Macaca fascicularis: one gene and its partner. The protein of the gene in region 2 interacts with the protein of the main gene of each other region in a biochemical or structural test. Links are inferred from orthologs where the notes say so. Each region holds a gene or a part of one and is shown on either strand. Other genes may lie near its edges.

Region 1 (3,942 bases), on a different chromosome or scaffold from region 2:
AAGAGGACAAAATAGTTATTTTGACGATGACAAAAGTTTAAAGACGTGTTCACTCTTTCCACTCATGGACTTCTTGGAGCCATTTTTTCCCTTGATGCTGCACCTGACAAGTATCTCAACAAAGGCCTGCCCCTTCCTCACCTTCACTAATGGAGCCCAGGCCTCCGCCTCGGTTTGGACTTTTGCATAAGCAGTGCCTCCAGGCCATGTACTTCTCGGCCATGCTGGTGGTACAGCTGGCATCATCAGACCCGGGCCCAGAGGCTGAGCAACTCTGTTTAAGGAAGACTCTTGAAACCGTCTTAAACAGTCTACCCAGAAGCCCTTTGGGCATTTTCGCACTGATTTCAGGAGAGGCGCAGTATAGGTATCACGTACTGCCTTCATCTGCAGTAGCTGTGTAACCTTGGACAACTTAGCCTCTCTGCTTCAGTTTCCCCATCTATAAAATGGAATTGGTAACTGTACCTACTTAATAGAATAAGGATTAAGCAAGCTAACACATACCAAGTGCTTAGGACAGTCCCTGTACTTAGTAAGCATTTAATTAACATTATTATTATTTAATCATTTCTTAGGCCTGCATGATAGTTATTATTTTTCTATATTTATAGATAAGAAAATGAGGCTCTGAGAAATTACGTAATTTGCCCTGCGTCCTATGCCTAGTAGAGACAAAGCCAGAACTTAAATCCGGATATCCTGACTTCAAGTTCTGTGTTCTTTTTCTCCTAATGATGCCTCACTCCAGCTTTAGCAGCCTAGGGGCATCAAATTAACTCCTGTCGTGAACTTTTCCTTATCGGTCTCTGCTGGGCTGGCACCCAACTGTGGAAAGGGCACTCTTGGATCAAAGGTGTCTGGAGGGATGGTAAGCCCAGGGGAAGTTCCTGTTCATGATTTTGCATAGTCTTTGGGGACATATATACTTGGGGGAGCTAGAGATAGATAGATAGATAGATAGATAGATAGATAGATAGATAGATAGATAGATAGATAGATGATAGAAAGAGATTTCTTTTTAAAAAATTAGAATCAGAAATGAATGTCCTTGACTGTACTGGCCAACCAAAGGCAATCTTTTGGAGTTCTAGGCTAACTGGACAGCAATGAGCATATAGGGGAGAATCCTTATGCCTTCTATTAAGTTTTCATAACAATGTCTCTTGATAACTGAGTATGGCAGTTTGAAATGGAGATACAATGTAAGTGTTGGTTTCATGGGCTAAGCAGCAGCTAAGTTCTATGTCCTGTTCTTTTCCAGCCTGTGATTTGCTCATTTCTATAGAATAAAGTCTTAATAACTATCCCTGCTTTCTCTTTTCTTGCAACCCACAGAGAGAACTGAACTTCCACATTCAGCACTCAAGGTTGGAAATATATTTTTGATGTATTTGGGATAGTTTTGCTGGATTTTATGACAGTCAATGTTTCAATTGGAAAAAATTCAAATCCACATGGGTTTTATACGATAATTCTGTTAATCAAACTGTTTCATCAACCTGAGTTCTCTGATTGCACTGGTTAATAAACTGTAATTCTCAAATATCCTTTTCACAGGTTTGCGCCTGGGCTAGGCATGGGGACTGATGAGGCATCTTGGTGCCCACTAGCATTCTTGGCACCCTCAGGCACTCTTAAAGTATAAGCCATCTTAAGCTGTCCAGGAGGAGCTGCAGGAATAGTTTCTGGGGCACTCGCAAAGGATTAGAAAATGGGCCCCAGTGCCAGGTTACAAACAGGCAGGCCATGTAATGCGGATAAAATAAGAACTGACTTCAGCTCTGCCCTAAAGTCACACCAACAACTTTCTGAGGAAAAAAAAAAAAATCACATAAATGAATATGCCGCTCAGAAAATCTGCACACAACTACATTCTGTAATGCTGACTGACAGCAAATCACAAGAGAGGAGAGTCATTTAGTGATATTTTCCATCTGACCCCCAGAGAGAGGCAAGGTCAAGTAACTCTGGTCTCTCCAGGATCACAGGGAGATTTGAGGGAGCAGAGTGGGCACACTGAGTGACATCCACAAGTAGTCCCTGGATTTCATTTCAGCCAACCGTTTTAACAACAGTTTCTGCATTCTATCTGGGAAACAGTGACTGGGACAAGGGCCCTTGAAAAGTCAAGGGGGCCATAGAGACTTTACATCAGACCCATCATAGTGTAGCACGTTTGGTCCTCTTCATTTGAAGAGTTAGGACCCACCCCTCATTGTTCACACACCCCAGCTGTGCAACAAGGGCATCTGATTCACATGAGGCCAAAATAAAGCAGACCTCAGTATATATTCTCTGCATCCTCGTTCCCATATCCCAACCCCTGGCCAAAGGCATTCCCTCAGCACCTCACTGAGGCAGCGCGGACAGCACGCCCTTTGATTACTTACCTCAAGCACGATTTCTTTCAGTTGGAACTGTTTTTGCGCGACCTTATCTGAAGACACCGGCTCGTGGTAGTAGAGGCAGAGCAAGTCATATTTCTTTAAAACCTGCTTGAAGTTCTTCTCGGAAAGACTTACCACTCGGTCCTTCCCATCATATGTGGGGAAATTAAGCCCCTCTTCTGCCCTGCAAGAGGACAGAAAATAAACCCCCACAATAAACAAGTGAGTTCTCTTCATTTGGAAAAATTTTTGTTTCTTGTTCCCAAATATGCCGTGTGCAGAAGAAAGGACAGAAGACTATTAGAGGCCTTGTTGAGCCAAGCAGGGAGCAGACAGGCTGACTTTGTCTCTCTTCTTTGCCCTTCCTGGGGCGGAGAAGTGACTCTTCACCTCCTTGGGTCCAGCCAGCTCTGGAATCGTGGGCTCAGGACAAAGAGCAGAGGCGCACACACTCACTCACACACACACACACACACACACACGCACGCGCGAGAGTAGAAAAACAGCCAAGCTAGGGAGGCTGGGAGGCCAAGCCCCAGATACCTTACATAGCTCTGCTCAGCCTCTGTCTCATTAGGAACTCCATTTTTAGGATGCAGTTGTTTCAGGCTAAAAATAAATCATGCAATGAATAAAAAAGTTAGATACGACACTGTAGAGGGATTCGCTGATACAGTCTGTCCGAATGGCGAAGAGGGAAGAGGCAGGAGGAAAAAGACAAGAATGTGCACGCATGAAATAAGGAGGCTAGAAAGGTCAAAGAAGAGAAAGAAACTCGAGAGGGAGAGAGATAAGGGACTATGGTGCCAATAAGCAAATGGGGAGTTCAAACATACAGAATGACACTCATGCATTACTGAATTGTTCAATCACTCCAGGGAGGTAACTCAGCCTGTGGTTGCTCACCCTCTGTTCCTCACTGCAACATGAAACAAAACAGAGGCCCAAGGTAGACTTCCTCATGTTCTACTCCTGTTTTTTTCTGCCTTCCATCCTCTCTTCTTAAAAATCCTCTGCCAGCCACTGGGCGAGGGGTGCAGGGACACCCTGCTGAACCCAGCTGACACCAGAAGAATCTGTCCTCATTAGAATAAAATGAAACAAGGTTCACAGCTCAAATCCCTACTCAGCCTTTTAACAGCTAATGAACTTTGGAGGGTCACTTGCCCCCTCTGATGATCAGTTCCCCTCTATGTAAAGTGGGGATGATAATAACCATAAAGTTTAAAACACATAGATGAACAAGCATGGCACAAAATAGGTGCTCAAAAATGGTAGCTATTGTACTTCCTTCTCACTGGAGCTGGTGGAACATTGGTTATATAATGGATATTTGTCTGTTTCTAATATGAATGGTTTGTGAACCCTTTCTTGTCCATTTTCTCCTTGAATCCAGTAGGCAACTGGGGCAGAAGTGATCAGGGCTCATCCCACCACTGAGCTAACAGCAACTTGTCTGAGTTTGCAGCGTTTCTAACTGCCAGAGCAAGAATTCCACCCTGCCTCAAAGCTGCTGCTCCTGGTTGTCTTGCCTCTGACTCTGGGTGATTCC
Region 2 (4,016 bases):
CAGGGAGGAGGTCATTGCCTACAGAAATAGCTGTTGCAGTACTCTTCTGAGCCTGAATTTTAAAAATAACAAACATGGCTTTGCTTCATGATCTATGAAGTACCATATGAATTCAGGAGGTCTGAAAACAAAAGGTAGCAAGTTCAAGCTAAAAGATTAAACTACAAGCATGTAGTAGGTTGAATATGAGAATAAAATAAAAGTGTAGCCCACCCTTGATTATTTACGGATTGGCTAGAGTTTATGATTATCAGTGCCCTTCGATTATCCTTTTCCTTCCAGCTACCAACTATTGAATATTTTTTTGCTCATTAACACCTGTCTAGGAGTGGGAAGGTGAAATGCTAATCAGACAATTTGGTTAATTGTTAGTGGCTGCTATAATCCTTTTTTTTTTTAAGTTGAGATAAGGAAATATTTTACTAAAATATTGGCTGTGGACCACTAAATTTTATGTCACCTTCGCTTCCTTTTATTGCAAGGATAAATGCAGATATTTAGTTTTTAGTTAGGTATTAAAGAGAATTAAAAACATAGTAATTCATGAATCCATTGGTTTTCAAGTATCACACTATAAATTCACATTACGTAATTCTTATTGGTCAGTGTTCAGAAAATATTACTCTTCTACAGTATGACTACTTTAAAAGAAAGCTTTAGGATTTAATCGTTGCAATTTTAAGTGTAGCCCTATAAAAATAACTGCACTTGCTAAGTGGATTTGTATCAACAGGAACACAACTTTTAGAAAATTACTTAAGACTGCCCTCCCGTTTGCCTGTGGTAGACATTTGGGACCCTCCCCAAGCCAAATAAGGGAAAGAAGAATGTTCTGACCATTAAAAGCACTAAGAATAAATCTGAGCTCTCATGGATAAGATTACTTTCAACTCTTTACTTCATGTTTTCTGACATAGACCCCAAGATCTGTAATTGTCTTAGAGAAACTGTGCGGGCTTAGATGGTACTTTGTAGTTCATTTGGCTGCTTCTTCTTCTTTTTTTTTTTTTTTTTTGCCTGTCTCTCTTTGGGGCTGGAGAGCTGGTGTGTCTTTGTGTGTGTTCCTCTAGAGTGCCAAAAAAAAAAAAAAAAAAAAAAAAAAAAAAAAAAACATGCTGAAGAGTCCTAGGGAGATGAGGCTATTTTTGTTTGAAGCTGATACTTCTAACTGAGCCACAAGTGCTGCTTGGAAAGGGCTTAGGTTGATTCCAGGGGGAGAACTCTGCAGAGGAGAGGCAAAGTTCAACAGGACAACAAAGAAGCAGCAGAAACAGCCAGGAAAAAGAAGAGCCCCCAGGTTTTGACACAGAATCCTCTACCAGAGTTCTCAAATCCCCAAATAGTCTGCAAAGTGCTACTTGACGGGAACTTTTCAACTGACATTTACTTTTGACGACCACCATGACTGAGATCACTGCTGAAGGTATTGCTACCATTTTCCAATAGTATCAAGTAAGGAAAAAAAATATGCAAATTGACAGCCACATGGACTGTTGATGTGTCCATTTAAAACGTTGCTTTAAGGTAATTGTCGTGGTCAATGATTCTATACAGGATCTGAGAAGTGGATTTAGGAGCTGAGAGGCTGCCAGATCTGTATATTGGGGGAGCAAAAAGAGATTTCTCTTAAATTTTGCATGTGGAAACTATTCTCTGCTATACCAAAGGCCCCACTAGATAACAGTTGTTACTCACACCTCTATAAATAGCTATGGTCATGTAACATGATGGATGATATCTTATCCAGCAAAAATTACAAAGTTTTCAAGGATGGAGACCATGATGAACTTAAAATATTACACTAATGCTTACTTAAACTTAAAAAGTAATTTGAAGCATTTTTACTTTATGATATTTTTAAATGGAGACCTTAAGTTTGTTTTTCCTTTCCTACTAGGGTATGTAAAACACACACACATATATATGATTTATATACAATTTAAGACATAAGTGGTCTCACAAAATTTGTGTTTATTTGACCGTTAATGGAAATTCAGAGATAAAGATTGGAATTCCACAAACTTACTGTGCATCAATATGATTTTTAAAATAAAGTAATTAAGTTTAGAATTCTGGTTCTTTTCATAAATTCATTCTTCATTTTCCTCTAAATGGTAAATTCTATCTTTATGTTACAATAAATATTTTCTGCTTCAATGCTTTACTGAAAGCTACATACTATAATTATAATACATATCTTCTATTTGATGGTTGCTAGTTATATATATTTATATTCCATATATGCTTCATATATATATATATGTGTACATATTTCTTAGAATGAAGAAGCCCTTCAAAACTAAATTACTCTGAATACAGTCACAGTCTGGTTCTAGTTGAGGTAAAATTTTGGAGGTGGATCTAAAATTTGCTTCTGACAGCTGTAAGAAACTCAGACAGGTGGTGCTCTTAACAACTTCCAAGTTAAATGCTGTGCTGGTTTGCTTTGAATAATACAACTGAACTATAGAATATGTGTTTTTATTTTGAGGGTAGAAATTAGTATCGACACACAGTAATTTCTCTTGGAGATTTTCAGTCAATATTTGTAAGAATTGCCTTATTTGTACCTTACACTGAGAAATTCAGTCTGACACCCCAAATTAATAACAATTACTGAGAGAATTCTGCGTGTTAGGTATTTTGCTCAGAATGTTATGGGTGTTTACTTATTTAAAACTGACACAATTCAATTAAGGAGGCATTATTATCTCAGTTTGGCAGAAAAAGGAACTGTAGCTAACATGTTCTGTGACTCGCTCAAGACTATAGCATTACTAACATTTAAAGCCAGCCCCTTTAAATCTCATTTGTGTGTGTGTGTGTGTTTTCTTTTCTGTGAGAGGATATCAGGTTTACTCTTTACCAGTTTTAGTTCAGAATTTGCTAACTAAATATAAATAGCATTTTTCCTATTCCTTAAATATTCTGTGTCACGTTGCTTTTAGTTTGCCTTAAAGAAAGCTATCTATAAAAACTTATTGCTTAGCTCTGCACAAGGTATTAAGATAGCTATGAGTGTCTTAATCTTCTGTTTCTCTACCTCTGCTCAGTGTTTGGGCTCCCAGGTGATTCAGGAGGTCGGTTGACTAAACCATCTTGGGCTTGTTTGTGGCTTATGTTCTGTAGAACTTGCAGTTGATTCAAAAGACTTTTTACAGGAAAATTCGTGATTATGAAATAGAACTTTTGTTTCTGCCTCCACTCTGCAGGGGTTTAAAAGGGCCTTAGAAGACCTTCTGGAGTCACCCATAAAAGTAATTGAATTAGTAATAAAATTAAAAAGTAGAAATACCATCTAATTCCTGGGTGATGGTCATTTGCCACTTCCGGGTCTTAACAGTTCATAGGATCTATATTATCTAAACATCAATTATGTACTTTTTTTCATTTTCTGGAGTGATTTATTAATAATATTTCTCAAATGAAAATTAGACTGTCAACTCAAATGAAGTTATCTTTTAAGGTAGCACAGTCATTCTTTGAGGATATCCAAAGTTTTTTGCACACTGTTTTACTACACAGTTTCATGTTACCTTGGCAATTCTCACTTTCTGTGCCCTAGCTACAATTGCCTTCCTCCAGTCCTTTATAAAAGGTATACCTTTGTACAATGCCTTGGTACAGGCTATTTTCTGAGCCTGGAATAGTCTTATTTTATCTCATCTGCTATATTTCTTTCTCAACCACTTATTTATTTATTTATTTATTTATTTTAGAGCAGAGTTTCTCTGTCACCCATATTAGAATGCAGTGGCATGATCATAGCTCACTGCAGTCTCAAACTCCTGGGCTCCAGCAACCTTTCTACCTCAGCATCAGAAGTAGTTAGGACTACAGGTGTGCACCACCATGCCTGGCTAACTTTTTTTTTGCTTTATTTTTGTAAAGACAGGATCTTGTTATGTTGACCAGGCTGTACTTGAACTACTGGCCTCAAGCCAAGATTCTCTTGTCTCTGCCTCCCAAAACATTGGGAATACAGGCATGAACCACCACGCCTGGGGCTTGCAATC

What was found.
Region 1: the proteins of TRDN (region 2) and CASQ2 form a complex in vitro, tested with the Homo sapiens proteins (3 studies listed by BioGRID). The link is inferred for Macaca fascicularis from reciprocal best matches to the Homo sapiens genes TRDN and CASQ2.

What each region holds. Positions count from the first base shown.
Region 1 is NC_088375.1:118,620,769-118,624,710, reverse strand, and holds the start of CASQ2 (calsequestrin-2), read right to left. Parts: upstream 2,803-3,942; 5' UTR 2,628-2,802; coding exon 2,394-2,627; intron 1-2,393. UniProt on the Homo sapiens protein: Calsequestrin is a high-capacity, moderate affinity, calcium-binding protein and thus acts as an internal calcium store in muscle. Calcium ions are bound by clusters of acidic residues at the protein surface, especially at the interface between subunits.
Region 2 is NC_088378.1:27,577,436-27,581,451, reverse strand, and holds the start of TRDN (triadin), read left to right. Parts: upstream 1-1,204; 5' UTR 1,205-1,401; coding exon 1,402-1,423; intron 1,424-4,016. UniProt on the Homo sapiens protein: Contributes to the regulation of lumenal Ca2+ release via the sarcoplasmic reticulum calcium release channels RYR1 and RYR2, a key step in triggering skeletal and heart muscle contraction.